Anolis sagrei: one gene and its partners. The protein of the gene in region 2 interacts with the protein of the main gene of each other region in a biochemical or structural test. Links are inferred from orthologs where the notes say so. Each region holds a gene or a part of one and is shown on either strand. Other genes may lie near its edges.

Region 1 (10,211 bases), on a different chromosome or scaffold from region 2:
TTCACAGTCCATGGTTCAAACAAATTCTCCTTGGTATGCATGGTGATTGTGTAAACCACGAAGCATCGTGGACCATATTCCTGCCAGTGTAATTCAAAACTGACATCAGCAACATGTTTTTCCTCCATTGCTGATGTTGCTGTTTCCTCATGAATGCCTAACACTTGATCACCAGGAGATCCAGTACAACAATCAAAAGCTCCAAGCAGGCTCTCAGCAAAACAAAGACCTCATATCAGAAATGGAAAGCGAAAGTCAACAGGCGTGACAAAAATCATGGAAAACTGCTTAAGGATCATTTCAGCTGGATAAATATCCCAGCGAACTTTCTGTAGAGAAACTAAATCACCCTAACATACAACCTAATTCAGAAACATCTTAATTTTGCCATTTTATGTAAAGGTTGACAGTTCACCATGCCATAGTTTTCAGATTTTGGTATCCTCAAAGATACTGGAACAAAACTACAGGGATTTTGTGAAATCCCTGTATGCCTCCAGCTCCAATTCATTGCCTCATTTATGAGTAAATAATGAAAATTAGAGGCAAATTCATCAGTTGTGTATTTGCGGGCAGGGAAGAACAGGTTTTGTTACGAACAGTTCTCTTCTGAAAGGTCGAGGGCCTCAAACTTTTTGGAAAGTTTGAGTTACATTTTCTGTTGGGGAGGTTATGGGTGGAATTGGGGGTATTTAGCTTTTAAATGCAATTTTAAATGTATTTAAAATGAATTAGGTCTGCATAGTTAAAGCAATGGTATTCCCCATAGTAACCTATGGATTTGAGAGCTGGACAACAAGGAAGGCTGAGAAAAGGAAGATAGACAGTTTTTGAACTGTGGTGTTGGAGGAAAATTCTGAGAGTACCTTGGACCGCAAGATCAAAGCAGTCCATACTCCAGGAAATAATGCATGACTTGTTACTGGAGGGAAGGGTATTAGAGGCAAAGATGAAGTACTTTGGCCACATCATGATAAGACAGGAAACTCTTGGAGAAGATAATGATGCTGGGGAAAATGGAAAGAAAAGGGAAGAGGAGCCAACCAAGGGCAAGATGGGTGGATGTTATCCTTGAAGTGGAGCCCCTGGTAGCGCAGTGGATTAAACCCTTATGCCGGCAGGACTGATGACTGACAGGTTGGAAGCTCGAATCTGAAGAGAGCTCAATTGAGCTTCCTCTGTCAGCTCTAGCTCCCCATGTGGGGACATGAGAGAAACCTCCCACAAGGATGATAAAACATCAAAACATTCAGGCGTCCCATGGGCAACGTCCTTGCAGATGGCCAATTCTCTCAAACCAAAAGTGACTTTCTCAAGTCGCTCCTGACACGGGGAAAAAACCCCTTAAAGTGACTGGCTTGACCTTGAAGGAACTGCGGTGGCCAAGGCCGACAGGGAGCTCTGGCGTGGGCTAGTCAACTGAACAAATAAACAACAACAACAAAATCTGCCTTGATATTCTGCATTATATGGCTGTGTGGAAGGGACCCAAGTTTCCCATCAGATGTCTTTAATAGCTGTGGGCCCTTCCACGCAGCCATACAACCCAGAATATCAAGGCAGAAAATCCCACAATATCTGCTTTGAACTGGGGCCCCTTCCACACAGCTGAATAAAATCCCACACTATCTGTTTTGAACTGGGATATATGGCAGTGTGGATTCAGATATCCCAGTTCAAAGCAGATAATGTGGGATTTTATTCAGCTGTGTGGAAGGGGCCCCAGTTCAATCAGCAGGGAAGAACTGGGAGTCCATACTGCCATAGAATCCAGTGGCACAGCTAGTTAGTAGCCAGCTGCATTAAATCACCACTGACCGATAGGTCATGAGTTCAAAGCCAGCCTGGGTCAGAGTAAGCTCCTGACCATTAATAGTCTAGCTTGCTGTCAACCTATGCAGCCCGAAAGACAGTTGTAGCTGTCAAGGAGGAATTTAGGAGGCCAATTTAACTAATTTGCAATGCCATAATATCTTCCAGCAGTGTGCGTAAGAATGAGGACGAACTCCATCAAAGGAACACAAGTGGATGGTGAAGTGGCTAGAATCGAACATACCCTCATGAAGCCAGAAAGCTGGAATGTTAAATTGCCTCTATGTCTGTGTATATATGTAGTCTGGCTAAATGACATTGAATGTTTGCCATGTATATGTGAATTGTAATCTGCCCTGAGTCCCCTGCGGGGTGAAAAGGGCAGAATATAAATATTGGAAATAATAATAATAATAATAATAATGATGATGTGTGGTTTGATACAGAACCAAGAACCTGCTTTAATTGAAATCAATAATCGGAAACTTCTCAAAGCACAGCAGACATAGAGTCAGTACAAGATAACTGCACTCCAAACCAGAGCTGACAGCTGGCACAATAAAGCCTTGGATGGGCAGTTCCTTGAGAAGATTGAAGGAAAAGTTGTCAAGGAGAAGACCTGGTTATGGCTCATGAATGGAACACTGAAGAAGGAGACGGAAGGCCCAATTCTTGCAGCCCAGGAGCAAGCCATCAGAAGCAATGCAATTAAGGCCAGGGTTGGAAAAAAAAAACCAGATTACCCAAAAAGCTGATGAAACCTCAGCTGTTACAAGAAAATCACACAGACTATAAACAAAGACACAACTCTGTGGCCCAGATGATTCACCAGAACTTATGTCACAAGTACCACCTGCCAGCAATAAAGAATTGGTGGGATCATAAACCCGCAAAGGTCATGGAAAATGAACATGCAAAAATACTGTGGGACTTTCAAATCCAGACTGACAAAGTTTTGGAACACAATGCACCAGACATCATGATTGTGGAAAAGAAAAAAGTCTGGATTATTGATGTCGCCATACCAGATGACCGTCGCATTGAGGAAAAACAACAGGAAAACCTCTATCAAGACCTCAAAATCAAACTGCAAAGGCTTTGGCATAATTCAGTACAGGTGGTCCCAGTGGTCATCGGAACACTGAGTGCCGTGCCAAAAGATCTGAGCCAGCATTTGGAAACAATAAACATTGACAAAATCACGATCTGTCAGCTGCAAAAGGCCACCTTACTTGGATCTGTGCACATCATTCGAAAATAAATCACACAGTCCTAGACGCTTGGGAAGTGTTAGACTTGTGATTTTGTGATACGAAATCCAGCATACAGATCTCGTTTGCTGTGACATACTGTGCTTTTGTGTCAGTACGTGCTTCTCCAGTGCCTGTTTTATAGAGACATTCGATCTCATCTCATCTTACCATGTACAATTAAATATCCAGGATGCTCTGGACAATTCTATGTAGATCTGCTGATCTCAGACACAAACTCGGCTGTGACGTACAACATCGCTAAGTTCTGCACGGCTGCAATTAAAATTCGGCGGACGATGATTGAGGGTTAAAAGACCTAAGCTTCTCCTCTGGAATATAGATGAGAAATCAGATATAGTCTGATATTATAGAGTTGGATATTCCCCCACTCCCTGGTGCCATCCCCACTACCTCTCTTTAGACTGCGTTGGATGAACTTGTGGGTTAAGTTAGGTTTTAATAACTATTATTATTATTATTATTAACTTTATTTGTACCCTGCTAGCATCTCCCGAAGGACTCAATGCGGCTTACAAAGGCCAAGGCCTCAAAACACAACATAACAATACAACACCTAAAGCAAATTAAAAACAATTAAAGCAAATATTAAACAACAAGCAATAAACAATACATCAAGACACTATAAAACTGGGCCGGGCCAGAGTAATGGGTACAGGATTAAAAGTGCTGATGTGACAGGTGATATGTAAGGATTATAGGGTAAGTTAAGTGCAGTGTGCAGCAATCTTAGTTCTGGGACTTGTTATTGGAGGTTCCTATTCTGGAAAGGCACATCGGAACAGCCAGGTTTTCAAGTTCTTTCTAAAGACTGCCAATGTAGGGGCCTATCTAAGATCTTTTGGGAGTGTGTTCCAGAGTCGGGGGGCCACCACAGAAAAGGCCCTGTCTCGCGTCCCCACCAAACACGGCTACGACGCTGGCGGGATCACGAGCAGGGCCTCTCCGGATGACTGAAGTGAGCGCGTGGGTTCGTAAACGGAGATACGGTCACGCAGGTAGGATGGTCCCAAACCGTTTAGGGCTTTGTAGGTAAGCACCTGCACCTTAAATTGGGCTCAGAAAATAAACGGCAGCCAGTGGAACTCCTTGAACCTCTCTCTGTAATGAGCCCCAGTTAACATCCTGGCTGCTGCCCGTTGGACCAGTATTGGTTTTTAGTTTCGATTTTAAAATTTGTTGAAGTTTAAAGTGTACAACCCCTTGGGTTTGATGTGAATGTACGGGACTGGGTCCCCATGTTGTGATCTGGTCTTCGACCGTAATAAACTTTACTACTACTTTGTGTCGGTAACATAATAATAGTAATGTGTGGTTTGATACAGCTGTGTGGAAGGGGATATTGAATAGCAGAAAGGAAGGAAGGAAGGAAGGAAGGAAGGCCCCAACCACACTTACAGGGGAACTGTCCTTTGCTGCTGCTTTTCAAACCACTTGGTTTCATTTTTCCTGGGAAGTCACATCTTCTTCTCGGCCCACTTCCCTGCGACGGTTAGTTGCGACCTGAAAGGAAAAGGAAAGAGATTCTCATGAACACACTTGAGAAGGCTTGAATATGGGGGAGAGGATTGAAGAAGAATGAAATACTCAGTGGGGGGAGGCGGGGTGTCCATTTAAAGAACGGGGCAACTTCTCTGCCGCCGCCGCCGCCTCCAAGCCCTGCTGCGCCCCCCCCCCTCAGGCCTCCGCCCCGCCCCGGGCCTTACGTTGCCTTCTCCCCGGGGGCAGCGCCTGGTGTGAGGCGCCCGTTCCAGCCCCGCGCTTCCCGGCGGCGGCGGAGGGGCGGTTGGCGTTTGAAAGCGGCGTCACCTCAGCCTCATGGCGCCGCCGCCGCTGCCGCTGAGGGGATTCTGCTCCGCCGCTCGGCCATTCGGCGCCTCGCCTTTCCCGCCTCGCTCGGGCTGGGCCTACCAGCAGCCTCCGAGGCGGGGCCTGGCGCTCTGGTTGGGCTGAATTCAAGGCCCAGGAGGAGGAGGAGGAGGAGGGCGGCGAGGAAGAGGAGGAGCCTCGCCTCTCAGAGGCCTCCTCGCCCGGCTCCTCTCCCTCTCAGTTGCCCAGGTAACCCTTCTCTTGGCCGCCCCTGAAGTGGAGGAATCCCTCATATCCAAAATGCTCCAGTAATGTTTGGGACTTGGGATACACTTGGGATGTTGGCATGTTTACCTGTATATGAGCATATACAGCAGGCCTTGGCAAACTTGGGCCCTCCCACAATGCCTGGTGTGTATGGTGCCCATGAAAGATTAATTTTATTGATTTATTTACTTTATTTGTATACCGCAGTTTCTCAGCTCATAGGCGACTCAACGCGGTTAACAACAAGAGCAAAAATTCAGTGCTAACAACATAGGTAAAGGTAAAGGTAGTCCCCTGACATTAAGTCCAGTCATGTCTGACTCTGGGGTGTGGTGCTCATCTCCATTTCTAAGCCGTTGTCCGTAGACACCTCCAAGGTCATGTGGCCGGCATGACTGCATGGAGCGCCATTACCTTCCCGCCGGAGCGGTACCTATTGATCTACTTACATTTGCATGTTTTCGAACTGCTAGGTTGGCAGAAGCTAGGGCTGACAGCGGAAGCTCACGCCGCTCCCCGGAATCGAACCTGCGACCTTTCGATCAACAAGCTCAGCAGCTCAGTGCTTTAACCCACTGCGTCACCGGGGGCTCTAACAACATACACTATTTAAAAACAATTAACACCGTAGTATACTAAATGATTAACATCAATAAACAACACATTAACATCTCGTAACTAGAATCGTGATCCAACTCGTCATCCGTAATTCCGTTTTCCTATATTCATTGCACTGCTTCTCCGAACGCCTGTTCAAATAGCCAGGTTTTCAGTTTTCTTCGAAACACCATTAACGAGGGGGCTGATCTAATGTCCATGGGAAGGGCGTTCCACAGCCGAGGGGCCACCACTGAGAAGGCCCTGTCCCTCGTCCCCGCCAAACGTGCCTGTGATGCAGGCGGGATCGAGAGCAGGGCCTCCCCAGAGGATCTTAAAGTCCTGGTGGGTTCATAGGCAGAGATACATAATGAATGTATTGTTTACACTTGGGTTTCATCTCCAAGGTTATATGTAGCATAGATATGCTAATGTGTGTGTGTGTGATGTCTATAAAATATTTATTTATTTATTTACAACTTTTATATTCCGCCCTTCTCACCCCGCAGGGGACTCAGGGCGGATTACAGTGTACACATATATGGCAAACATTCAATGCCAATTTTTGACATACAAACATATACAGACATACACAGAGTAGTAGCAGTAGTAATTTTATTGATTAGCCATTAGGCTATATCACAATAAGAAACAGAACAACAAGGCCTGACAAGACCTGATCACACTCCACGTAGAAAGTTAAAATAAGACACTTATAATAATACAGTAAATACATATGATAAGACATGATAAAACTGATCAAGCTGAGTATATACATCATATTTCATTATCACCCCTACAATTTACCCCAATCAGCCCTACATATGTGGTTCTCAGACGTATTGTTTTGCCTAAGTACAGAGCTGTTTTATATGTTATTTCTGGGTCTTGGCCACACATAAAATATGTTGTTCTGATGTGAGAATCCCAATACATTGTCCGTTTGATATATGGACCAAGGTGGAAGTCTCTCACCTTTTGATACAATTTGCAATCAAAAAATATGTGTGCTATATCCTCAATTTCAGGTGTCCCGCAGATACAACTTCGTTCATTATAAGGGATGCTGTTAAATCTCCTGTATCTAACCATTGTCTCGAGCTGATCAAATCTGGCTCGAGTGATGTTTTGGTATTTGCATTTTTAGGTAGTTAGCAGTTTGAAAGGTACGTTTATATTGACTCAGACATACACAGAGGCTATTTAACTTTTTTTCTGGCCGCCAGGGGAGCTGTCGCTTTCATCGTCCATCTGCGACGCTGATGAAGCACTTCCGCATTCCCTGCATGCTTCCCCGCTGGAATGCTTTGCTGGAGTCTTCTTTATGGCCTCATAAATCAGTTAATTTAGCCTCCCCACACTTTAAGGTGGTACCTAATTTTCCTACTTGACAGATGCAACTGTCTTTCGAGTTGCAAAGGTCGACAACAGGCTACACACAATTGGTTGGAAACCCACTCCAACCCGGGCTGGCTTCGAACTCATGACCTTTTGGTCAGAGTGATCTTAATGCAGCTGACACTCAGCCAGCTGTGCCACAATCCCGGTCTAGTATTTAGACCTGAATGTATAATTAACACTTGAGTTTCATCTCCAAGGTTTTGTATAGCATATATATGGCAATGTATCTATATGTGTGTATGGTGTCTATGAAAGATAGATTTATGTAATATTTAGACCTGAATGTATTGTTTACACTTGAGTTTCATCTCCAAGGATGGATAGATAGATAGATAGATAGATAGATAATATCTATATGGCAATGTATCTGTGTGTGGTGTCTATGAAAGATACATTAATGTAGTATTTAGACCTGGATCTCATTTCAAGGTATCTCACAAGATATATATCTGGCCTGGGCAAACTTGGGCCCTCCAGGTGTTCTGGACTTTCAACACCCACAATGCCTGGTGTGTATGGTGTCTATCAGAGATAAATGAATGTATTGTTTATACTTGGACTTCATCTCTCTCTCTCTCTCTCTCTCTCTCTCTATATATATATATATATCGCTATGTATCTATGTGTAGGTCCCCTGGCGGCACAGTAGGTTAAACCACTGCACTGCTGAACTTGCTAACCGAAAGGTCAGAGGTTCGAATCCGGAGAGCAGGGTGAGCTTCAGCTATTAGGCCCAGTTTCTGCCAACCTAGCAGTTCAAAACATGCAAATTTGAGTAGATCAATAGGTACCACTCTGGCAGGAAGGTAACAGCACTTCATGCAGTCATGCAGGCCACATGAGCTTGGAAGCATCTACGGACAACACTGGCTCTTCAGCTTAGAAATGGAGATGAGCTCCAGGCCCCAAAGTTGGACACGACTAGACTTAATGTCAAGGGCAAACTTTTCACTACAGCCAGGAAATCAGTAGGAGAGCAGTGGCCAATCTCAATAAAATAAAAGGACAGACTGTATTCTCTATCTCTTGATATTATGGGATACGCTTGATTTTTCTTGGGCCGTTTTTATACACAATGAGAATAATCATTAGGTTGAGAAAGTAACTCATATTCAGATGTTTCAGAGAGAACTTTTCCTTTCAAATTCACCTAAATGAGTGATAAACCATTTAGGTGGGGAGTGTACAGACACATATGTGTGTATATTTATTTATTTATTTTCAGTATTTCTATCCCACCCTTCTCAACTCCCGAGGGGGGATTCAGGGCGGCTTACAAATGGCTTATGTGTATGTATACATAGATTCCAAGTTAATCAGCACTTAAGGAGTATTGGCAGATGCCTAATAAATGTAGTTTCTGGTTGTCTGAGAGTTACTGTTAAAATAAACCTAATTAATACTGTACCCCATACTATATCACACCAAAAACTCTGTATTGACTTGTTAATATTGAAGTACCGTAATTGAATGCAAAGAGAGAAACCTAACTAATTTAACACAGCTTCACTGTTCTATAAAAAAGCTTTGTGAATGCAGTATGCAAATTTTGTGAAATGGTAGCCAGTAAACTTTTGCTGGTTGCTTGATAATTTCATTTGCTTGAATTCCAATTAATAGAGTCTACACAAACACACACACACATATATATATATTGATTTTTTTTAATCAGGTTATGCTTCTCAAGGAATAAATTATGGGTTCTGAAGAGAAAGAAGATGGATTATACAGCATTACAACGTCTCAGCAAGCAGTCTGTTCTTGTTGTGGTGCTCTTATTACTTCAGTTTTGGGTAAGAAAAGACAATTGAGGTCACTTAGCACACTGTTAATATGTCAGTGTTATTTTTAACAGGCATATTCTAAAAATGAGATAATGATCCTATTATAGGCATGTCCCACTGGGTTCAGTAGAGCTTTCTCTCCAGCAAATGTGTTTAGGATTGTAACCCAGTAGTCACAAATAGATATTGAGATACTCCTCACTGGAAGGGTAAGATGGCCACGGAAATCTGAAAATATCCCGTGAAGCCAGTGCTAAGACAGCAGCCAAAAAGGGACAAGTAATGGAAGATACAACAACTGGAAGCCACAGTGTCCCTTATTAGGAAAGAAAATACAAACTGGACACCAAATAATACAAACATTGAATTAGCCTGATTTTTTAAACACCAGGAAGTGTGATGAGCAATAATCTGTAGTTTGCAGAGATTTGCAAAATGCCTTTTAATCCATCCCCTGTGGGGATTTTCACTTTGTGCATTGTTAATAATGGTGAATCCTCTTTAAGTCAAATGAAAAATAAAAACCTCTCATGATTCAAGATTAGAAACAAATAGGTTGGAAACTATATTTGTGCCTTACTCCATTTGTATTCTGATTCCTAGCAAATATAATTGTACTTTCATAATAAATCCAAAGCCTATTACATCGAGACTCACGGCATTAGAGAAGGACTTTGTAGGCCATCTCTTCTAATCCCCTACTTAGTATAGGAAATCCTGAATGGAACATACCCAGCAAGCTTAACAACCTTGAGCAAGGGATAGTCTTTCTTCCAAGTCCCATTCTCAAAATATTTGTACAATCAAGAGGCATCTCAGGTTCCACTAACATTTATTCCCCTATACTTAAAGCCCATTCTATCTGGGCACCACAATTTAAGGGAGATGTTGACAAGCTGGAATGTGTCCAGAGGAGTGTGACTAAAATGATCAAGGGTCTGGAGAACAAGCCCTATGAGGAGCAGCTTAAAGAGCTGGGCATGTTTAGCCTGCAGAAGAGAAGGCTGGAAGGAGACATTATGAGGGCCACGTATAAAATATGAGAGGAGAAGTCATAGGGAGGAGGGAGCAAGCTTCTTTTCTGCTGCCCTGGCTCCAAACTACAGGAAAGGAGATTCCACCTGAACATTAGGAATAACTTCCTAACTGTGAGAGCTGTTCAGCAGTGGAACTCTCTGCCCTGGAGTGTGGTGGAGGCTCCTTTTTTGAAGGCTTTTAGACAGAGGCTGGATGGCCATCTGTCAGGGGTGCTTTGAATACCATTTTCCTG
Region 2 (10,112 bases):
AAAAGGAAAGGGCCTGAGGCTGCAGAGAAGGTGCTTAGCCTTATCTGCCAACTATAAAGCCCAATGTACCATTGCATTGGGATTGTGGGAGTTGTAGTTTCAGTTTGGCATCACTTTGAATGCTATAACAGAAAGCTATATCATTATGGGAGATGTAGTTTCACAGGGACCTTAGATTTCTCTGCCTAAGAGTGCTGGTGCCTCCCCACACGACAAAGCCCAGTGTGCCACTGCATTGGGATTGTGGGAGATGTAGTTTCAGTTTGGCACCACTTTGAATACTATAACAGAATGCTATATCATTGTGGGAGATGTAGGTTCAAAGGGTACTTAGCTTTCTCTGCCAAAGAATGCTGGTACCTCCCCAAATGACATAGCCCCATGCACCACTGCACTGGGATTGTGGGAGATGTAGTTTCATTTTGGCACCACATTGAATGCCATAGCTGAATGTTGTATAATTGTGGGGAATGTAGTTTCTCAGGGTCCTTAGCCTTCTCTGCCAACTACAAAGCCCAATGTGCCATTGCATTGGGATTATGGAGTTGTAGTTTCAGTTTGGCACCACTCTGAATGCCATAACAGAATGCTATATCATTGTGGGAAATGTAGTTTCTCGGGGTCCTTAGCCTTCTCTGCCAACTACAAAGCCCAATGTGCTTTGGGATTGTGGGAGTTGTAGTTTCAGTTTGGCACCACTTTGAATACCATAACAGAATGCTATATCATTGTGGGAGATGTAGTTTCACAGGGTCCTTAGCTTTCTCTGCAAAAGAGTGCTGGTTCCTCCCCAAAGGACAAAGCCCAATGTGCTATTGCATTGGGATCGTGGGAATTGTAGTTTCAGTTTGGCACCACTTTGAATGCCATAGCTGAATGTTATATCATTGTGGGAAATGTAGTTTCTCAGGGTCCTTAGCCTTCTCTGCCAACTACAAAGCCCAATGTGCCATTGCATTGGGATTGTGGGAGTTGTAGTTTCAGTTTGGCACCACTTTGAATGCCATAACCCACTAGTTCTCAACCTGGGGTCCCCAGATGTTTTTGGCCTTCAACTCCCAGAAATCCTAACAGCTGGTAAACTAGCTGGGATTTCTGGGAGTTGTAGGCCAAAAACATCTGGGGACCCCAGGTTGAGAACCACTGCATGACCGAATGCTATATCATTGTGGGAGACGTAGTTTCACAGGGTCCTTAGCTTTCTCTGCCAAAGAGTGCGGGTGCCTCCCTACACGACAAAGCTCAGTGTGCCACTGCATTGGGATTGTGGGAGTTGTAGTTTCACAAGCTCTTATGCCTCCTCGCAAAAAACAGGACCCCCCAGCATTAGAAAGTGGTGTCAACCCGCATCAACTCTGCAGTGTAGGCGCACCCCCAGCAGGGGGAGGGGGCAAGAGCAATCGTGGGGCAAGAGGGTTGTTTACGCAGAAGACAACACACGCAGAGATCCCTTTGGAGAATGGAGAGGCCAGCGGCCAGATCCACGAAAGTGGGGCAGCCTTTTGGGGAGGGAGAGATTGGCTGGAGGAAGGAGAGTGGCGCCCTTTCATGGCCCCCAACGCAGAAACCCGGGGAAGGGATGCGCCCAGGGGGGTCACGCGTGGGAATGGGGTGTATTGAGGGATAGGGGCTTCCTACCGTCCTGGGGCCCCAGCAGCAGGAAAGGCTTGCTCTCTTTCTCTCTCTCCGCCGCTTCCTTCCAACGCTACGGAGGCAGCGCCTGCTTCATTCCCGGGGATCCGGGCCGGCCACCCCGCAGCCTCCCAGGTTCGAGCCCGAGTCGCCAAAAAGATAAAATAATAAAAAGGGGGCTGTCCTTATAAGGGGGCGTCGTTCAAGTTCCACCCGTTTCCGGAGCCGAAGCACACTTGCTGCCTCTTCCTCTCGAGTTGGCGATTACCTGAGTCCTCCTCCTCTCAGGTGTCTTGGGAGAAGAAGGGAAAAAACACCATCACGGTTTTACGGTTCTTTCTTGGTAGGAAAATTGAGCCCCGGTCCCTAGAGCCGAAAGCCAATCCGGAGACAGCTACGTAGAAGCAGCCTGGCTCAAAAGCGAAAGGAAGGAGGAAATGAGCCAATGGGGAAAAAGGAGAGGCGGGGTTTGAAGGGGAGAAAGAGCGCGGCCTTAAAGGAGCAGCTCATTCATTGGGGCAACAAGAAGTAGAAACGCAAAACCTGCTTTTATCCCAGGCCTTTCCAGACAGCCCTATATCCCAGAATATCAAAGCAGGAAGTCCCACAATATCTGCTTTGAACTGGGTTATCAGAGTCCACACCCAGATAATGTGGGATTTTCTGTCTTGATATTCTGGAATATAGGGCAGTGTGCAAGGGCCCCCAATATCAAATTCTATATTTTTCTGAAACCACAGCCTCCTAGGGCCCTTCCACACAGCCATATAATCAGAATATCAAGGCAGATCATCCACATTATCTGCTTTGGATTATCTAAGTCCACACTGCCATATAATTCCAGTGGATTTTATACAGCATTGTTTGATCACTAACAAGGTTGGCAGAATGACCATTCCCAATGCTATGAGCCTGTTACTGAACAGTTAAGATACACTTACATCATCCCCAATTAAATCTAGAAATAGTTTTTTAAGATCTACAGAGACACTTGCTGGAACACCTCAGCAAGCGAGAGTCCAAAAGTGGCAGGCTCAAACCCAGAACCTCAACCAATGGCTGATACCAAATGAGAGACTCCCCCTGGGCACACAGAAGACTGGGCGAATTGGAAGGCACTGAACAGACTGCGCTCTGGCACCACAAGATGCAGAGCCAACCTCAAGAAATGGGGCTACAAAGTGGAATCCTCGACATGCGAGTGTGGAAAGGAGCAAACCACTGACCTCCTGCTGAATTGCACCCTGAGCCCTGCCACATGCACCATGGAGGACCTTCTTGCGGCAACACCAGAAGCACTCCAAGTGGCCAGATACTGGTCAAAGGACATTTAATCAACCACCAAACTTACAATTTTTTTGTATTTTGTCTGTTTGTTTGCTTTGTTCTGTTAGAAATGTAATATAATTGACTGGCTGCCCTGACACAACAAATAAATAAATCCCCAATTAGAATAGCTGGGGATGAAGGAAGTTGTAATTTAAGTCACTTGTAGAGTGTATGGGGTTGATGGTGAGAAGGATTGTAAAAACTTGGCTGTGGAACCAAGCTTTCGGGACAGGGCAATAAAGCAGCAATAGGAAAGATTACCAGACCAAGTAGATTTGACACAGATGACCAAGACGGTTTTGAACAGTGTATTTTAATATTGAGTTAAATGTTTTAAATGTTTATGTATGCGTATATGAATTCTTGTCCCGGCATTGAATGTTTGCCGTATATATGCTGTACTCCGCTCTGAGTCCCCTTCGGGGTGAGAAGGGTGGAAGATAAATGTTTTCAATCAATCAATCAATCATCCATTCTCTGGAGTCTTTAACCACTTTAGTTACAGTAACTGTGTTTACAAGGAAGTTATTACATTTAGTATTTTTTGTTGTTCATTCGTTCAGTCGCTTCTGATTATTTGTGACTTCATGGACTAGTCCATGCCAGAGCTCCCTGTTGGCTGCCACCACCCTCAGCTCCTTCAAGGTCAATCCAGTCACTTCAAGGATACCATCCATCCATCTTGCCCTTGGTTGGCCCCTCTTCCTTTTTCCTTACATTTTCCGCAACATAATTGTCTTCTCTAAGCTTTCCTGTCTTCTCATGATGTGGCCAAAGTACTTCATCTTTGCCTCTACTTACTTACTTACTTACTTAGGCGATCCCTCATTTTCCGAGGAGGATTGTCTTCCAGTATTCTTGTGGATCCGTATGTGGCTGTGGAGCCCTATTCTTGCTCTGCATCTTCTTCTGCAGTGAGGGCATTGGTTTCCAGGTGGAAGGCGGTCTCAGTCGGGGTTGGCTTGACGCGCCTTCCTCTTGGCATGCTTCTCCCTTTTGCCCTCCATTCATGCCTCTTCAAATTCTGCAGCACTGCTGGTCACAGCTGATCTCCAGCTGGAGCGCTCAAGGGCCAGGGCTTCCCAATTCTCAGTGTCTATGCCAGAGTTTTTAAGGTTGGCTTTGAGCCCGTCTTTAAATCTCTTTTCCTGTCCACTAACATTCAGTTTTCCGTTCTTGAGTTCAGAGTAGAGCAACTGCTTTGGGAGACGGTGGTCAGGCATCCGGACAACGTGACCAGTCCAGCGGAGTTGATGGCGGAGGACCATTTTCTCCGGAAAATCCTGCAAATCTCTTGGGAAGACAGGCGGACAAACGTCAGCGTGCTGGAAGAAGCAAAGACCACTAGCTTTGCCTCTACTATCCTTCCCTCCTATAAGCAGTCAGGCTTTATTTCCTAAAGTATGGACTGGTTGGATCTTCTCGCAGTCCAAGGCACTCTCAGAACTTTCCTCCAACACCACAGTTCAAAAGCATCTATCTTCCTTCACTCAGCCTTCCCTATGGTCCAGCTCTCACATCCGTAGGTTACTATGGGGAATATCATTCCTTTAACTATGCGGATCTTTGTTGCCAGTCTGATGTCTCTACTCTTTACTATTTTATCAAGATTGAATATTGCTCTCCTCCCAAGAAGTAAGCGTTTCCTGATTTCCTGGCTGCAGTCTGTGTCTGCAGTAATCTTTGCACCTCGAAATACAAAGTCTGTCACTGCCTCAATGTTTTCTCCTTCTATTTCCCAGTTGTCAGTCATTCTTGTTGCCATAATCTTGGTTTTTTAAAATGTTTAACTGCAACCCAGCGTTTGCGCTTTCTTCTTTCACCTTGATTAGAAGGATCCTCAGCTTCTCCTCGCTTTCGGCCATCAAAGTGCTGTCATCTGCATATCTAAGGTTGTTAATGTTTCTTCCAGCAATTTTCATCCTAGCCTTGCATTCCTGAAGCCCCGCACATCGCATGATGTGTTCTGCATACAAGTTGAATACGTTGTGTGACAGTATACCAGCCTGCCGTACGCCTTTCTCAATCTTGAACCAGTCTGTTGTTCCATGGTCATTTAGTATTAGATTGCCTATTTAAGACATTTCTACACCATCCTTCATGTCATGAACACCAGGGCATTTCATAAAAGTCAGTATATTTTTAGAAAGATGAAATAGCACAATAAATCAATTTATTTCATAACAATTAGAGTGAAAGGCAGAGTGGGAAGCCCTGGCCCCTGAGCGCTCCAGGTGGAGGTCAGCTGTGACCAGCAGTGCTGTAGAATTTGAAGAGGTACGAATGGAGGGCGAAAGAGAAAAATAAATAGGACACCAAGAGTGCATCTATACAGTTGGATTAACGCAGTTTGATGCCACTTGAACTGCCATGGCTCAATAGTATGGAGTCCTGGGATTTGCAGTTTGGTGAAAATCCAGCCCTTTTGGGCAGAGAGGAGCAAAGACCTTGTAAAACTACAAATCACATGATTCCATAGCCTTAAGATGCAGTGTTTGAAGTAAACTGGAGTAATTTTGCAGTGTTGATGCACTGATAATTTTGCATCCTAAATACCATCTGTCTTTGGTCCCTTCCACACAGCTGAATAAAATCCCACATTATTTGCTTTGAACTGGAATATATGGCAGTGTGGACTCAGGGCTCTTCTACACAGCCCTATATCCCAGAATATAAAGGCAGAAAATCCCACAATGTCTGCTTTGAACTGGCTTATCTGAGTCCACATTTAGATAATGTGGGATTTCCTGCTTTGATATTCTGAGATACAGGGCTGTATGGAAGCGGCCTTTCCTTAGCGCCCTGCTGATCACTGTTTACAGCAGGGGCGCTGTTTGGTTCCATGCGCTCCGGAAGAGGAAGCGCGACATTTGCATATTCAGGAGGAGCTCTCTTATTCATTATTCATGAGCTTTCGCGGGCTTTTGCACCATGTGACCGTCTTTCCCGCGGAATTCAGCCTGGCCCTGGGAGTGCACTTGGAGGAGCCAAGCAAGCACAGAGGAAAGCTCTGCGGATTTGTGAACCTTTATCGAAATAATGGCGGTGAGTTGGGACTGGACTTTTTTATAGAGGAAAATCCTTAAGCTTAACTTTTCTTACTTAGCATTACATTTAAAGGTTTTGTCCAAACCATGGAACTTTTTCCTCTCCTGCTTTTCCTTTGCTAGAAGCTTTTTTTTGGAAGGATTTTTGGGAGAAATCTATTGAGCATTTGAATGTTTTGTACTTTCTAGAGTTTGAAAGGGAGAGGGGTTGTGGGTGTGAATATCTGGGCTCCTGTTCAAAGACAGCAAGGTGCAGGGCAAAACTACACGCTAGGGTGCTTCTACACAGTAGGATTACTGCAGTTTGACACCGCTTTAATTGCCATGGTTCAACGCTGTGGAATCTTGAGAGTTGTAGTTTAGTTAGGCATTTGCAGTGTCTGGCAAAGCAGGCTAAAGACAGTTCCCAGGATTCCATAGCATTCAGCCATGAGAGTGAAAGTGGTGTCAAACTGCATAAATTCTACAATGTAGATGCACCCTAGGCTGTAGTTTTGTGCACAGCTACATGGAAGCAAGCCCTACCAGGGTTTGTGCGTTTCCTTCTGTTCTCTAGTCCAGGTGGAAAGTCATTTTGCAACATAAACTTTCATAAACTACAGCATACTACACCAGGCTTGGGTAAATCTGGGCCTTCCAGGTGTTTTGGACTTCAACTCCCACCATTCTTAACAGCCCCAGGCCCTTCCCTTTTACTCCTCAGCCACTTATGCAGCTGAGGGGTAAAAGGAAAGGGCCTGAGGCTGTTAGGAATGGTGGGAGTTGAAGTCCAAAACACCTGGAAGGCCCAGATTTATCCATGCCTGAACTACACTACATAACATTATTTTTGTTCCTGGGTTATAAATGGCATTTTCTAATTGGTTCAATCATAAAAACATGAGAAACGTTTATTAAACTGCAAAAACTTTGTTTTTGCGGGACCCCCTCAGCACATTTTGCTATAGCTTTTCAATGAATATCTCACAATGTCCCTAATCAATTCAACATAGTTTGTGGTAGCCACAAAAATGAAGTTTCTGGGGTATAACAACTACTTTCAAAGTAAGTGCTGCACAATTAAACAAGAAATAACACTTTCAAGCCAGGAACAGAATTATTTTTCAAATTTTGTTATATAGTGCCATAGGTTGGGTATCCCTTATTTGAAATGCTAGGGTCCAGGGGTGTTTGGGAATACAGCTATTATTAGTTATTTTGGATTTTAGAGTAGCTCTATTTGCATATGCTGTATATAATAAAATATTTTGGAGATGGGACCCAAATCTTGGAGATGGGACCCAAATGTTAATATTTGGATCATGTGATTTTAATATTTATATTGAGATATTTTAATGTTTTGTTTTAATGTTTAAATCTTAATGTCTCATGTTTAATGGTTTTAGTGATTTTTATTTATAATTATATATTAGTGCTTAGTTATTATGATTTTTCTTTTTACATGTATGTTGGCACTGAATTTTTACCACTATAAGTTGTAAACCGCCTTGCCCCCCCCCCCAGGCTGAGCAAGGTGGTATATAAATATAGGACATAAATAAATAAACAAATATAAAATTTATTTATATATGTATATCCTGAAGGTAATTTTATGCACAAACGTTTCAAAATTATTCTGTGCATGAAGCAAAGCTTGTGTACATTGAACCACCAGAAAGCAAAGGCATCACAATGTTAGCCACACATGTGGACAGTTTTATATTCTGGGCTATTTGGGGATTCTGGATAAGGGTTGCTTGACCTATACTAAGACGCCATGTCTTTGAGCTTAAAGAGTAGGCAAATTATATGCATCCCATTTGAAACCCCGTGGCTGCCTCCTGCAGAATTCTGGGGTTTGTAGTTTAGTGAGGCCCAGGTCCTCTTTGGCTCAGCATCTGAAAGGCCCCTCTCTAAATTACAAGCCCCAAAATTCTGCAGGAGGCAGCCACAGGGTTTCGAATAGGATGCATATTCTGACGGCTCTTTAAGCTCTAGCAGTGGTTCCCAAACTGTGGTCTGTGGATCACCAGTGGTCTGCAAGAACGAAAATATGCTCCCCACCATTACTACATAATTTCCTCAAAAACATGTGGCAATGAGGGTGATTGGTCTCACAAAACCCTCTTACAGTCCCGGGAGAGGCTGACTACCCATGATATATTAAAAAGTAAGTGATGGAGAAAAGCAAGGAAATGCAAGGAATAGTTGGTAAAAGTTAAGACATTCCTCACTGATGGTAGCTTTACAACTTCCTTTAGGATTCTTCCGAGTCGAACGTGGTTACCAGCCCCCAGGCTAGCTCTCGTCGAGGAGACGCCCTCACTTCCAGCCCTGGGAGAGACCTGCCTCCCTTTGCAGACGAATCGGAAGGACTCCTTGGGACTGAGGGGCTCCCAGATGAAGATGAAGAAGATGGAGAAGACCTCATTGGAGATGGGATGGAAAGGTAGAGGGCTTGCACAGTCTTTGGGTCCTTGCTGGGGCCTCTTCTTTGGGGGCAGAATGAGGGTGATGCTTGATATGGCTGGAAATTGGACATCTGTGAAAGCATGTGTTTTGAAGAGGCAAACGTTCTGTCTCTGGTTATGTTCCTTTATTTCTAAATTAAATAAGGTTTGTTTTAAATGGTCAGGTATTATGGAAGCTGAACCTTATTCCATCAGAATTTATTGTTGGAAGTAAACCTAAGAATTGGCAGTACCATTGTATTCCAGACGTTTTTAATAATAATTTTTGCTCAAGAAAGAAACGGCATAAAACAGAGATAGATAACAGTTGCTAGAAATGGTTTGAAGTTGTGATGATGTATATTAGCTCTGATGTGAGATAGCTCAAGAACTTGGTTGAGTGTTGACTGTGGCCTTCGAAGCCTGTTTATCAGCTTCTCATAGCCATCTGATTGGCCTCTGTGGGTGAAAGATTGCTCTACTTAAGAGGCAGTCCTTCTGCTCAGTATTTTTTACGGTTGCCTCCTCTCACCCAGCTGTAGCAATGTTATGCCCAAGCGTCCTGACTACAGATCCACATTTCAATATATATTGAAAGTTGTTTCCAAACTGATTTGCAAGATGAGCATCATGATACTGATGTTCCCAGATGTTAATTATATGAGTCTACATCAGGCATGGGCAGACTTTGGCCCTCCAGGCACGGGCAAACTTCAGTCCTCCAAGTGTTTTGGACCTCAACTACCACAAACTGGGAGTTGGAGTCCAAAACACATGAAGGGCCAAAGTTTGTCTATGCCTGGTCTACACTAACCATACAGTGCAATTTCAAACTGCATGATATGGCAGTGTAGATACAGTCTCAGAAAGCTATCTTCTTCTTTTAAAGTCTTTTGATTGCACCCATGCTTTACGGTACCCAGTATCTTTCCATTCTGGTATAAGATGTTTTTATTAGGGTATGGTTTTGAATATTGCGGTGCACCACATAAATTGATGCTTTTATGTAAAAGAAATGTCAGTGGTACTTGTAGAATGCTGCACCACTTATAATAATTATCTATGCACATGTCCCAAGGATCTGGTATATACAGTTATTCTTAAAGACCTTTTCAACATACACATGAGCACTCATCGAGATTGATCAATGAGTGTCCATTGGAATCAGTCGTTTATGTCATGACTTGACGTGAGGCAAATGCAGATGTCATCTATGAAGTGCAGGCTGAGACTGTACAATTGCAACTGCACAGTTCATGCCCGAAATTCTTATGAAAGATAAGATCTCACGTGTGAACATCTCATGGGTTTGGAATGAGAGGATGGCAGTGTTTCTGTAAAATAAGTGATGTTTTCATATTCACTCACACTATGCCGTGCAGTCATTGAGCTGTTGGGGCCAGAGCCTTAAAGCAAATGTAATGTCATCGCTAAAGCACAGCATAGTCTGAGCTCTCTGTGTGGTGTCTAGGGATTACCGGCCTATTCCAGAGCTGGATGTCTATTCACCGGAAGGGCTGGCCCAGGATGATGAAGACGTGGAGGAACTGACGGCCAGTCAAAGGGAGGCAGCAGAGCGGGCCATGAGGCAGAGGGACCGCGAACTGGGCCATGGCTTGGGCCGCATGAGGACTGGTCTGCTATATGGTATGTTTGCAATCTTTCTGGTGCATAA
Region 3 (10,544 bases), on a different chromosome or scaffold from region 2:
AAACCTATCACTAGATGGCATAGGAAGGATGTTATATTGTATTTTCCTGTAAAAACTCAGACAACATAGGCAAGACGCCTTACTTAGATTGAACAATATTCCCTACTACATTTCTCAAATAGTGTTTTGGCTAAAGAGGTATAGTAACTGTGGGCCTTTAAAGACATAGCCATGTTAATCTGGATCAGAACAGAAAGGGATCTTGTAACATTTTTCTTAAGACTTTTTTTTTTGTCGTGTCAGGAGCGACCTGAGAAACTGCAAGTTGCTTCTGGTGTGAGAGAATTGGCTGTCTGCAAGGATGTTGCCCAGGGGACGCCCGGATGATTTGATGTTTTATCATCCTTGTGGGAGGCTTCTCTCATGTCCCCGCATGGGGAGCTGGAGCTGATAGAGGGAGCTCATCCGCCTCTCTCCGGATTTGAACCTGTGACCTGTCAGTCTTCAGGCCTGCCGGCACAGGGGTTTAACCCACTGCGCCACAGCAGTCTTGAGACTAAATGACAGGGAAAAGATTGTCATGTAAGCTTTTGTAGACAGGGACTACTTACTCAGATGCACAGAATGAAGTGCTTGTTGACAAATATTTGTGCCCATGAAGGGGTAGTGTGTGTCTGTGTCATTACACTCTAACTATTCATAGATAGAAATGTCTATCCATAGACACTTCACTTAGGCCCCTTCCACACAGCTGAATAAAATCCCATATTATCTGCTTTGAACTGGGATACACGGCAGTGTGGACTCAGATATTCCAGTTCAAAGCAGATATTCTGGGGTTTTCTACCTTGATATTCTGGGTTATATGGCTGTGTGGAAGGGCCTTAGAGCATCTGATGAAAAACAATCCTACAAGCTTCTTTCTCTGAATTAGTTTCTAAGATGTTACAACAGTCCTTGTGCTGTTCCACTATCAAGCATGAAGTGTTTCAATGATATCAGGTCCATCCAAACCTGAAGGCAACTGGCCAAAGGAGCACACCAAAGTTTTGCTGGAAAACACTGTGATGACCAAAGCCTTATGTAGGGTAAGAGGCTTTCAAAAATGTGAGAGGTACACTGGACCCTTCACTCCAGAGAGTGGCCTCCATAATAAAAGATGTATTTCCTGCTACTCCTGAGCAAGCTGGACAGAAGTTGAAGTAATAATTAGAGTTGGGCAAGGAGGAGAAATGGTACACCAAAAAGAAAAGGAGAACATTAGGAGATAGCAGCGCATGAGCCAAAATTGTGGCACGTATGTACCAATGACTAGAGAGCACTTTATGCTCTCACAGTGTGAGACCAAGCAGGTGGGGCTAGACCTCTGCTTTGCTAACAGACCCAAATCTTATTTCATGGCAAACATTTTCAAAACTTTGAATAATTTCATTTTTATAATATGATGCCTGGGAATGGGGGACGCTTGACTCAACAGCAGTATGTGTGAAAAAGATCTTGGAGTCCTCATGGACAACAAGTTAAACATTAGCTAACAATGTCACACGGCAGTTAAAAAAAACAATGGGATTTTGGCCTGCATCAACAGGAGTCTAGTGTCTAGATCCAGGGAAGTCATTCTATCCCTCTCTTCTGCCTTGGTCAGACCACACCTGGAATCACACTATGTACAATTCTGAGCACTACAATTTAAGGGAGATGTTGACAAGCTGGAATGTGTCCAGAGGAGGGCGACTAAAATGATCAAGGGTCTGGAGAACAAGCCCTGTGAGAAGCGGCTTAAAGAGCTGGGCATATTTAGCCTACAAAAGAGAAGCCTGAGAGGAGACAATGATGGCCATGTACAAATATGTGAGAGGAAGTCATAAGTTGGAGGGAGCAGGCTGTTTTCTGCTGCCCTGGAGACTAGGGCGTGGAGCAATGACTTCAAATGACACGAAAGGAGATTCCACCTGAACATTAGGAAGAACTTCCTAACTGTTCACCAGTAGCACTCTCTGCCAAAGACGGTGGTGGAGGCTCCTTTTTGGGGGCTTTTAAACAGAGGCTGGATGGCCATCTGTCAGGGGTGTTTTGAATGTGACTTTCTTGGCAGGGGGTTGGACTGGATGGCCCACGAGGTCTCTTCCAAATCTATGTCAGCTGTCTGACATCATAGATCATACACTGTGGGCCTTCCATTGCTCTTCTCCTGCGATCCACTATTATCTGCCTTCCAGATCAGACATACAAGGTGTGCAGGGAGAGGAGAAAATTATCATTTCCAGTAGCAGACAACAAACATTTGTTGCAACTCATTATTTTTTTAAGCTCCAAGGCATTCCCATCAACCCAGAATACAATTAAGAATTTTTAAAAAGCAAATATTTTGATAAACCAAAGTAAGGATTAACTTGTAAATTTGAATCAACCAAGTATTCCAAATGTCCCGCTTTGCTACAAGTTCTTCTATACTAACGCATAAATGAAATCATCAATAAAAAGTACAGTTTGTTTTTAAAGTATCTTATGCCAAAATATGAGTATGGAAGGGTCCCAAGAAAACAGGTGGAGGCCTTATAACAGGAAAGGAAGAATTTACAAGATTTTGGAGGGAGGAAAGATGTGTTAAAGTGTGTACCTGATAGCTTCTTGTTCTGGCTGTATTTCTTACTTGGGTCTTCACTGTGCATGGGAGGATGTTCAATCTGATGAGCTGCCTCCATTGTAATGCTACCTGAAAGCAGCCACAGAAGTTCAGAATCAGGGTCAAATTCTCTTCTGGATTTACATGCAAGTTTTCAAGTCTAAACACACTGAAAGAAATTCGCTCCCTTCTCTCAGCACACTGTATAAAGGTTAGTTAGACAAGGCAGCAAAGTGGTCCATAGACGCGTGCTGATCCTCCAGCCCCTGGAGAGTTTCCAAGCAAGAAAAGACAAGAAAAGGAATCCCAGGTTGCAGGGGAGCGTTTGCACAATTAAAACTTGTGCGCCAGCTGCGCCTGTACCTTGGGAAGTCAGACTTGGCCACGGTGGTCCATGCTCTTGTTACGTCTAGAATAGACTACTGCAACACACTCTATGTGGGGTTGCCTTTGAAGACTGCTCGGAAGCTTCAAATAGTTCAACAAGAGGCAGCCAGGTTAATAACTGGGGCGGCATACAGGGAGCATACAACTCCCATGTTACGCCAACTTCACTGGCTGCCAGTTTGCTACCGGGCACAATTCAAAGTGCTGGCTTTGGCCTATAAAGCCCTAAACGGCCCTGGCCCAAATTACCTGTCCGAACGGATCTCCCCCTATGAACCATCACGGAGATTAAGATCCTCCGGGGAGGCCCTGCTTTTCGTCCCACCATTGTCACAGGCGCGATTGGTGGGGGCGAGAGACAGGGCCTTCTTGGTGATTGCTCCCCGGCTATGGAACTCCCTTCCTGGTGAGATCAGGTCGGCCCCCTCCCTCCTGTCCTTTAGAAGGATGGTAAAAACTTGGCTGTGGGACCAAGCTTTCGGGACAGGGCAATGAAGCGGCAATGGGAAAGATGACAGGGCCAATTGGATTTGATGCGGATAGCTAGGACGGTTTTAAATGGTGTTATTTTAAATAGTGTGTTTTAATATTTCGATAAATGTTTTTTAATGTTTATGTATTGTATCCAGGCCCTGAAAATTTGCCGTGTATATGCTGTGCTCTGCTCTGAGTCTCCTTCGGGGTGAGAAGGGCGGAATATAAATGTTTTAAATAAATAAATAAATAACTGTGGTCAATAGACACACAAATATGGTGTGAGGCTCTGTCGCTCTTGGGAGGGGGACTGGGCTTCAATAGAATGCAAGGCACAACAGGCACTGGCAAACTCTGGCTCTCCAGATGTTTTGGACTCCAACTCCCACAATTCCTAACAGCCTCAGGCCCCTTCCTTTCCTCCCATAAGCGGCTGAGGGGGAAAAGGAAAAGGTCTGAAGCTGTTAGGAATTGTGGGAGGTGGAGTCCAAAATACCTGGAAGGCCGAAGTTTGCCCATGCCTGATCTATAATGTAGAATTAAATTGAACTCCCATGTCTCAATGCTACCCAGTTCTGGGATTTGTAGTTTGGTGATGAAGCACTAGCACTCTTTGGCAGAGAAGATGTAGGTCTTTGTAAACTACAACTCCCTGATATATAATGTAGAATTAATAGTTTGGCACCACTTGAACACCCATATCTCAATGCTACCCAATTCTGGGATTTGTAGTTTGGTGATGAAGCACTAGCACTCTTTGGCAGAGAAGATTAGTCTTTGTAAACGACAACTCCCACAATTCCTTAGCACTGAGTCATAGTGGCGTCAGTAATGTCAAAATGGCTTAACTCTTCCCAAACGGGGCCTGGTGCCTTTAAGGCTTTGATTCCTAGAGCTATGAAGGACTGAGCCTTAAAACAAAGTGGGCCAAAAGTCAAAAAGGCCTTCGATGTTGTAACAACTTTCTCAAAAGTTGCTATATATACTCTGTATCGGGCATGTGCAAACTTCAGCCCTCCAGGTGTTTTGGACTTCAACTCTCACAATTCTTAACAGCCTACCGGCTGTTAGGAATTGTGGGAGTTGAAGTCCAAAACACCTGGAGGGCTGAAGTTTGCCCATGGCTGCTCGTTATGGTGCTAAATAGTATGGAACACTGAAAACAGAGGCCTCTGCTCAAGCGAGGAAGGGGAGGAGAGGCCCAGCAAAGTGCTTCTCGGGTCTCCACACCCCGCCACTCCGAGGGAGAGTTGTCCTGTCTTCTTCCCCCATCGTTCCTCTTCTTTGCTCGGCTTTTTTACTCACTTGATCGCCCGCTTCCTCACTCGGTGGCTTCCCTTTCTTTCAAACAACGGCGCCTCTCCGGCTGACTCTCCGCCTCCTTTGGCGCCAAAAAACCGCGCTGTCCGTCGCAACGGCGCCCCCTGTCGGCCGCGGAGGGAGGAGTCCGCCTTGTCAGCCGGCCAAAGACAAGCAAGGCCTCTTTCTCTCTCAGCCTCCTCCTCCTCCCTCCCACGCTCCAAATAAGGCCCTTCTACAAGGAAGTTTGTGAAGGAACTGCTTTCTGGGCTATAGAGACTTCACCCCAATGAGCATGTCAAGTCTTTAGAAGTGTAGATTACCATACAGCTCCGTTTTGAAACTAAAGGGATGATTTTTCCCATCTCCATCCCATTGCACAGTAGCAAATTATCTGTTTCTTTCAGGAGTTCTCAGTCTATTTGCCGTTCAACCCACTGTCCCTCCCCTGTTTTCTTTGTGAGAAACAACAACAAAACTTGCCATACATCAAGGGAACCACTGACCGCATAGGGAAACTGATGAGGAAACACAACATACAAACCACTTACAGACCCACCAAGAAAATCCAACAAATGCTACGTTCAGCAAAGGACAAGAGGGATCCTCTTACCTCTGCAGGAGTCTACCGTGTACCATGCAGCTGTGGACAAGTCTACATAGGGACCACCAAACGCAGCATTGCCCAAACACGAATCAAGGAACATGAAAGACACTGCAGACTACTTCAGCCAGAGAAGTCAGCCATAGCAGAGCACCTGATGAACCAACCTGGACACAGCATATTATTTGAGAACACAGAAATGCTGGACCACTCCAACAACCATCATGTCAGACTACACAGAGAAGCCATTGAAATCCACAAGCATGTGGACAATTTCAACAGAAAGGAGGAAACCATGAAGATGAATAAAATCTGGCTACCAGTATTACAAAACTCAAAAATTACAACAGCAAAACAACAGAGGGGAAACAAACAGGCACATAAAATCACTCTCAACAAGAGATTCCCCCCAGGCGCTTCCAGGCCATTGAATGCAAATCAAGGTGATCAGCTGAAACATTCACAGCTTGCCCCAGCAGACAGGGGTCCTTTGTCTCACCCTGGTCATTCCACAGATATATAAACCCATTTTCCTACTTCCAACAGACCTCACTACCTCTGAGGATGTTGCCATAGATGCAGGCGAAACGTCAGGAGAAAAATTGCCTCCAGAACATGGCCATATAGCCCGGAAAAACCTACAACAACCCAACAAAACTTTATTTATATACCGCTCTATCTCCCCAAGGGGACTCAGAGCGGTTTCCAAGTAACATAATCAATACATACAAAGAAAACAGTATAAACATAAAATTATGCCAAGACAATATGAGCCTTAAAAAACCACAATAGCACATATATTTAAAATAATTCTGCCTGTTCAAGGCAGTTTAAAAAGCCAGGCCAGGCTAGTGCGATTTTAGTGGGCCGAGGAAATTAGGTAGAGTCTATGGCTGTACATTTCCAGGGCCTAATAGAAGAAAGTGACCTGGGTAATTGGTAGAAAAAGATATGGCCACTTTCAACAGTGTCTGGGGCAGAGCTAGAACTAGTCGTTCTCAAAGGTTTGTTTAAACCACCAGGTCTTCAGGCTCTTACAAAAGGAGGGGGCAACGGGGCCTGTCTTATTTCTCCAGGAAGAGGGTTCCAGAGGCAGGGGGCCACCACTGAGAAGGCCCTCTCTCTCATCCCCACCAACCATGCTTGTGACAGTGGTGGGAGCGAATCGAGGGCCTCCCTGGAAGATCTTAAAGTTTGCATTGGTTCTAAGGCCCGTCGCAAACTCTGTTCCTGGGGAGAAAACCTTGCTAGCATGTCCCTGACGTCACGAGACTCCGCCTCTCTCCCCACCCCTTTCTCCGCCCCTTTCTCTTTGCCAGCGTGGTTTTTCCTTTGCTAGGGCAGCATTGCCCGCATTTTCTCTCAGTTGGCAGAATTCAACTGAGAGAAAATGCGGGCAATGCTGCCCTAGCAAAGGAAAAACCACGCTGGCAAAGAGAAAGGGGCGGAGAAAGGGGCGGGGAGAGAGGCTCAGGCTCATGACGTCAGGGACTTGCTAGCAAGGTTTTCTCCCGCAGGAACCTAGTTTGCGACGGCTCATAGAGGGAGATGCGATCACGAAGATAGGTGGGGCCCGAATTGTTTAGGGCTTTATAGGTCATAACCTGCACCTTGAATTTGGCTCGGCAACTTATTGGCAGTCAGTGAAGCTGTTTTAAAAGGGGCGTAGTATGCTCCCTATAGTTTGCTCCAGTAAGGAGCCTGGCTGCCACCCGTTGTACCAGTTAGAGTTTCCGGGCCATCTTCAAGGGCAGCCCCACATAGAGCGCATTGCAATAGTCCAATCTGAAACACCTCTAGAACATGGCCACACACCCCAAAAAATCTACCACAACCCAAGAAACATCTTTCCTGGACTATTATTTTTGTTCCTGGGTTATCAATGTCATTTCCTAATTGGTTCTATCATAAACACATGGGAAAAGTTTGTTAAACTGCAAAAACTTTTATTTTGCAGGAGGGACATCTTGCTAGAGCGGTGTTTCTCAACCTGGGGGTTGGGACCCCAGGGGTGGGGGTCGTGAGAGGGTGTCAAAGGGGTTGTCAAAGACCATCAGAAAATGCAGTATATTCTGTTGGTGATGGGTGTTCTGTGTTGGAAGTTTGGCCCAATTCTATCGTTGGTGGGATTTAGAATGCTCTTCGATTGTAGGCCTTGACATTTGGGAGTTGTAGTTGCTGGAATTTATAGTTCACCTACAATAAAAGAGCACTTTGAACCCAGTCCACAATGGATCTGCACCAAACTTGGCACACTACCTACATGGCCAACATTGAATACTGGTGGGGTTGGGGTTTGGGGGCTGTTTCTGAATTCTGGGAGTTGTCGGTCACCAATATCAAAAACGAATAGAAGGGCAGGTGGAGAGATCTTTAGCCTTCTCTGCCAAAAGGGTTTCTGAGACCATCAGAAATATGTATTTTCTAATGGTCTTTGGTGACCCCTCTGAAACCCCACTCATGACCCCCCCCCCCAAGGGGTCCTGACCCCCAGGTTGAGAAACGTTGTAGAGTTTCCACCCATTTAACATAGGCCCCTTCCACACAGCTGAATAAAATCCCACATCATCTGTTTTTGTGCAGGTACAACTGTACCAGGAGCTCCAATTCTGTTTGCTTTTGCATTAAATGTTTGTTTGCAATCCCAGGCTTGGGATTTTGCAGCAGGGTGCCTTCCTGTTATAGTTTGCAATCATAGGGCAAGCCACCTGTCAATTATCGTTAGGTTCCCTGGTCCCACCCCTTTTTGAGTTTTGGAGGGAATAGGAGCCTTTTTGAGTCAGTCCACACAGAGCAGCTTTCCATGCAGGACATAACTCCAAGAGCTCCTGTAGAAAGCTTCGTCTTCTACGGCTTGGCCGGGGAGATATATAGCCTACAGCTTGGCCGGGGAGAAAAGGCCCCACAGCTTGGCTGAGGATTTTACAGCCTTACAGCTCCTTTGCGGAGGGACTTCAGCCAGCCATCACAGCAACCTGAACTCCTTCTTTTCCCCTGGAAGTCTACAAAGCTCTGCTTGGTAAGGGTCGCTCACGGAAGCCAGACGCAGTTGGTACCGGGTGCAGGGGCTACACGCCAACAGAGGCAAGTACAAACTGCCCAGATTAGAAGTTAAGGATTTCCCCATTAGTTAATTACAGTTAAGAAGATAGTGCCTGTTCCCAGTGAACAAGATTGCAAGAGCCAATAGACTGTTAAGAAAGCTTTAAAGTACCTGTTTGTTTCCATCAATAAAGAACTTTGTTGGATTTACTTTAAGCAATCTAAAGACTCTGTTTGGGGGGATCTAAGGGCCTTTGATCTGAGGCAGCCCCAGCATCCCGTTGGGCACACAGAATGTATGTCCTGTCTACAATCTAATGCACAGGCCCACCGTGCGACAACACAGTTTTGAACTGGAATATATGGCAGTGTGGACTCAGATAACTCAGTTCAAAGCAGACCTTGTTGGATTTTATGGCTTGATATTCTGGGTTATGTGGCTGTGTGGAAGGGCCCAGAGTTTGGGTGCACAAAAACAAAGTTTCTGGAGAGCAACAACTACTTTCAAAGTAAGGACTACACAATTAAATAAGTAACACAGAGTAGGAACAACTTTTCTTTATTATTATTTTATTGTTGTTGTTATTATTATTATTATTCAGAGGCAGGATGGCCATCTGTCTGGGGTGCTTTAGCTACATCGCAGAAATAAGGGGGTTGGACTAGATGGCCCTTGGAGTCAACCAAAGGAGGGGGGAAGGAGGTGGTGTCTGGGGGCACTCCCTTCCTTCAGTGTTGGAAGAAGGAAGAAGGGAAAGAAGAAGAGGTCACACATGGCATACACAAGGCAGAAAAGGAAGGAAGGAAGGAAGGAAGAAGGAAGGCAAGCAGGCACCCAGAAAGTGCACCAGACAGAAAGGAACACAACATACTGCTGATCTTCCCTCCTCCATGAGCAAAAGGTAACGGTGGAGATTTTCCTCAAAGGGGAATATTGGAAGGGGCCTCATATTAACCAGTTCAAATTTGATAATCTGGGATCATATCCTGGGATACAGGATAGTGTAGATTCAGAAATAGGTCCCTTTTACACTGCCATATAAAATCCAGATTATCTGCTTTTAACTGGATTATAAGGCAGTGCAAACTCTTATTATCCAGTTCAAAGCAGATAATGTGGATAATGCTTTGATAATCTGGATTACTGTGCATGGCAGTGTAGAAGGGACCTGATTCAACAAAGTAAATTATGTGTCACTTTGCATTTACCATAGGTTTTGAGGCATGGTGATCAAAGGACAATTAGATTATACAATAATATGTTGTATTTAATATGCTGTATTTAATTATTCAGAATATTCATAATGCGTATCTTTTCTTTGTTGCAAATGTCTACTAGGTTACTTTGCATGACGTTTTATGAAAGAAAAGGGGATATATGGTAAATTATATGAAGTCAGTATTTGAATCTATTCCACTTTTTAGAATTTCTCTGCTCAATGCGGCTTAGTAAATAAAAGCGAAAATGTAATAATATTCCACGTTAGTCAAACAATAAATAGCAAACAACAACATTGAGGCCCCTTCCACGCAGCTGAATAAAATGTTATATGGCAGTGTGGACTCAGACAACCCAGTTCAAAGCAGATATTGTGGGACTTTCTGTCTTGATATTCAGGGTTATATGGCTGTGTGGAAAGGCCCTAAGTAACCTTAGATTAACTGGAACAGATAAAACCATTTAAAACACCCCAAAGTAGACTGGAATAAAAACATATAATTCATTCAGTGTTCCCTTAAATAGCCAAATGTTGCTTATAGCTACATACCCTTATGTTCAGTCATTCAGGTCATGACTTGAATAAAGTGTTCTTCTGAATTTCTAAAAATATGATATTGAAGACATTAAATCAGGTATAAAGAATTGTTACAATAGCTATGTGAATAATTGCTATGTGACAGCCTCCTGTTCCTTGCGCTCCTTGTCAACCCAACAATTTAAATAATAAGAATAATGGTGGGAAGATTCAGGGATATGCACACATGCAAATTCGGACCCCGATCTGATAAGGCTAAAAAAGGTTGAAGTGTTAGGCCAAAACTAATACACTGAATTTCAAAAGTGATAAATGTGAGGTATACATCTAAGCATGAAAAATGAAATCCACAAATATAGAATGGTTGGCGCCTGACTTGAAAGCAGTACATGTGAGAAGGAGATGGGGGTCTTAG

The links.
Region 1: of the proteins of MCM2 (region 2) and DBF4, one has a biochemical effect on the other in vitro, tested with the Homo sapiens proteins (3 studies listed by BioGRID). The link is inferred for Anolis sagrei from reciprocal best matches to the Homo sapiens genes MCM2 and DBF4.
Region 3: of the proteins of MCM2 (region 2) and CDC7, one has a biochemical effect on the other in vitro, tested with the Homo sapiens proteins (8 studies listed by BioGRID). The link is inferred for Anolis sagrei from reciprocal best matches to the Homo sapiens genes MCM2 and CDC7.

What each region holds. Positions count from the first base shown.
Region 1 is NC_090026.1:104,609,576-104,619,786, forward strand, and holds the start of DBF4 (protein DBF4 homolog A), read right to left. Parts: upstream 4,955-10,211; 5' UTR 4,790-4,954; intron 4,587-4,789; 5' UTR 4,528-4,586; coding exon 4,482-4,527; intron 1-4,481. Other genes in the region: mitochondrial glutathione transporter SLC25A40, read left to right, coding at 8,854-8,950. UniProt on the Homo sapiens protein: Regulatory subunit for CDC7 which activates its kinase activity thereby playing a central role in DNA replication and cell proliferation. Required for progression of S phase.
Region 2 is NC_090022.1:55,025,924-55,036,035, forward strand, and holds the start of MCM2 (DNA replication licensing factor MCM2), read left to right. Parts: upstream 1-5,878; 5' UTR 5,879-6,000; coding exon 6,001-6,006; intron 6,007-8,248; coding exon 8,249-8,436; intron 8,437-9,908; coding exon 9,909-10,084; intron 10,085-10,112. UniProt on the Homo sapiens protein: Acts as a component of the MCM2-7 complex (MCM complex) which is the replicative helicase essential for 'once per cell cycle' DNA replication initiation and elongation in eukaryotic cells.
Region 3 is NC_090024.1:150,720,090-150,730,633, forward strand, and holds the start of CDC7 (cell division cycle 7-related protein kinase), read right to left. Parts: upstream 4,842-10,544; 5' UTR 4,733-4,841; intron 2,657-4,732; 5' UTR 2,646-2,656; coding exon 2,561-2,645; intron 1-2,560. UniProt on the Homo sapiens protein: Kinase involved in initiation of DNA replication. Phosphorylates critical substrates that regulate the G1/S phase transition and initiation of DNA replication, such as MCM proteins and CLASPIN.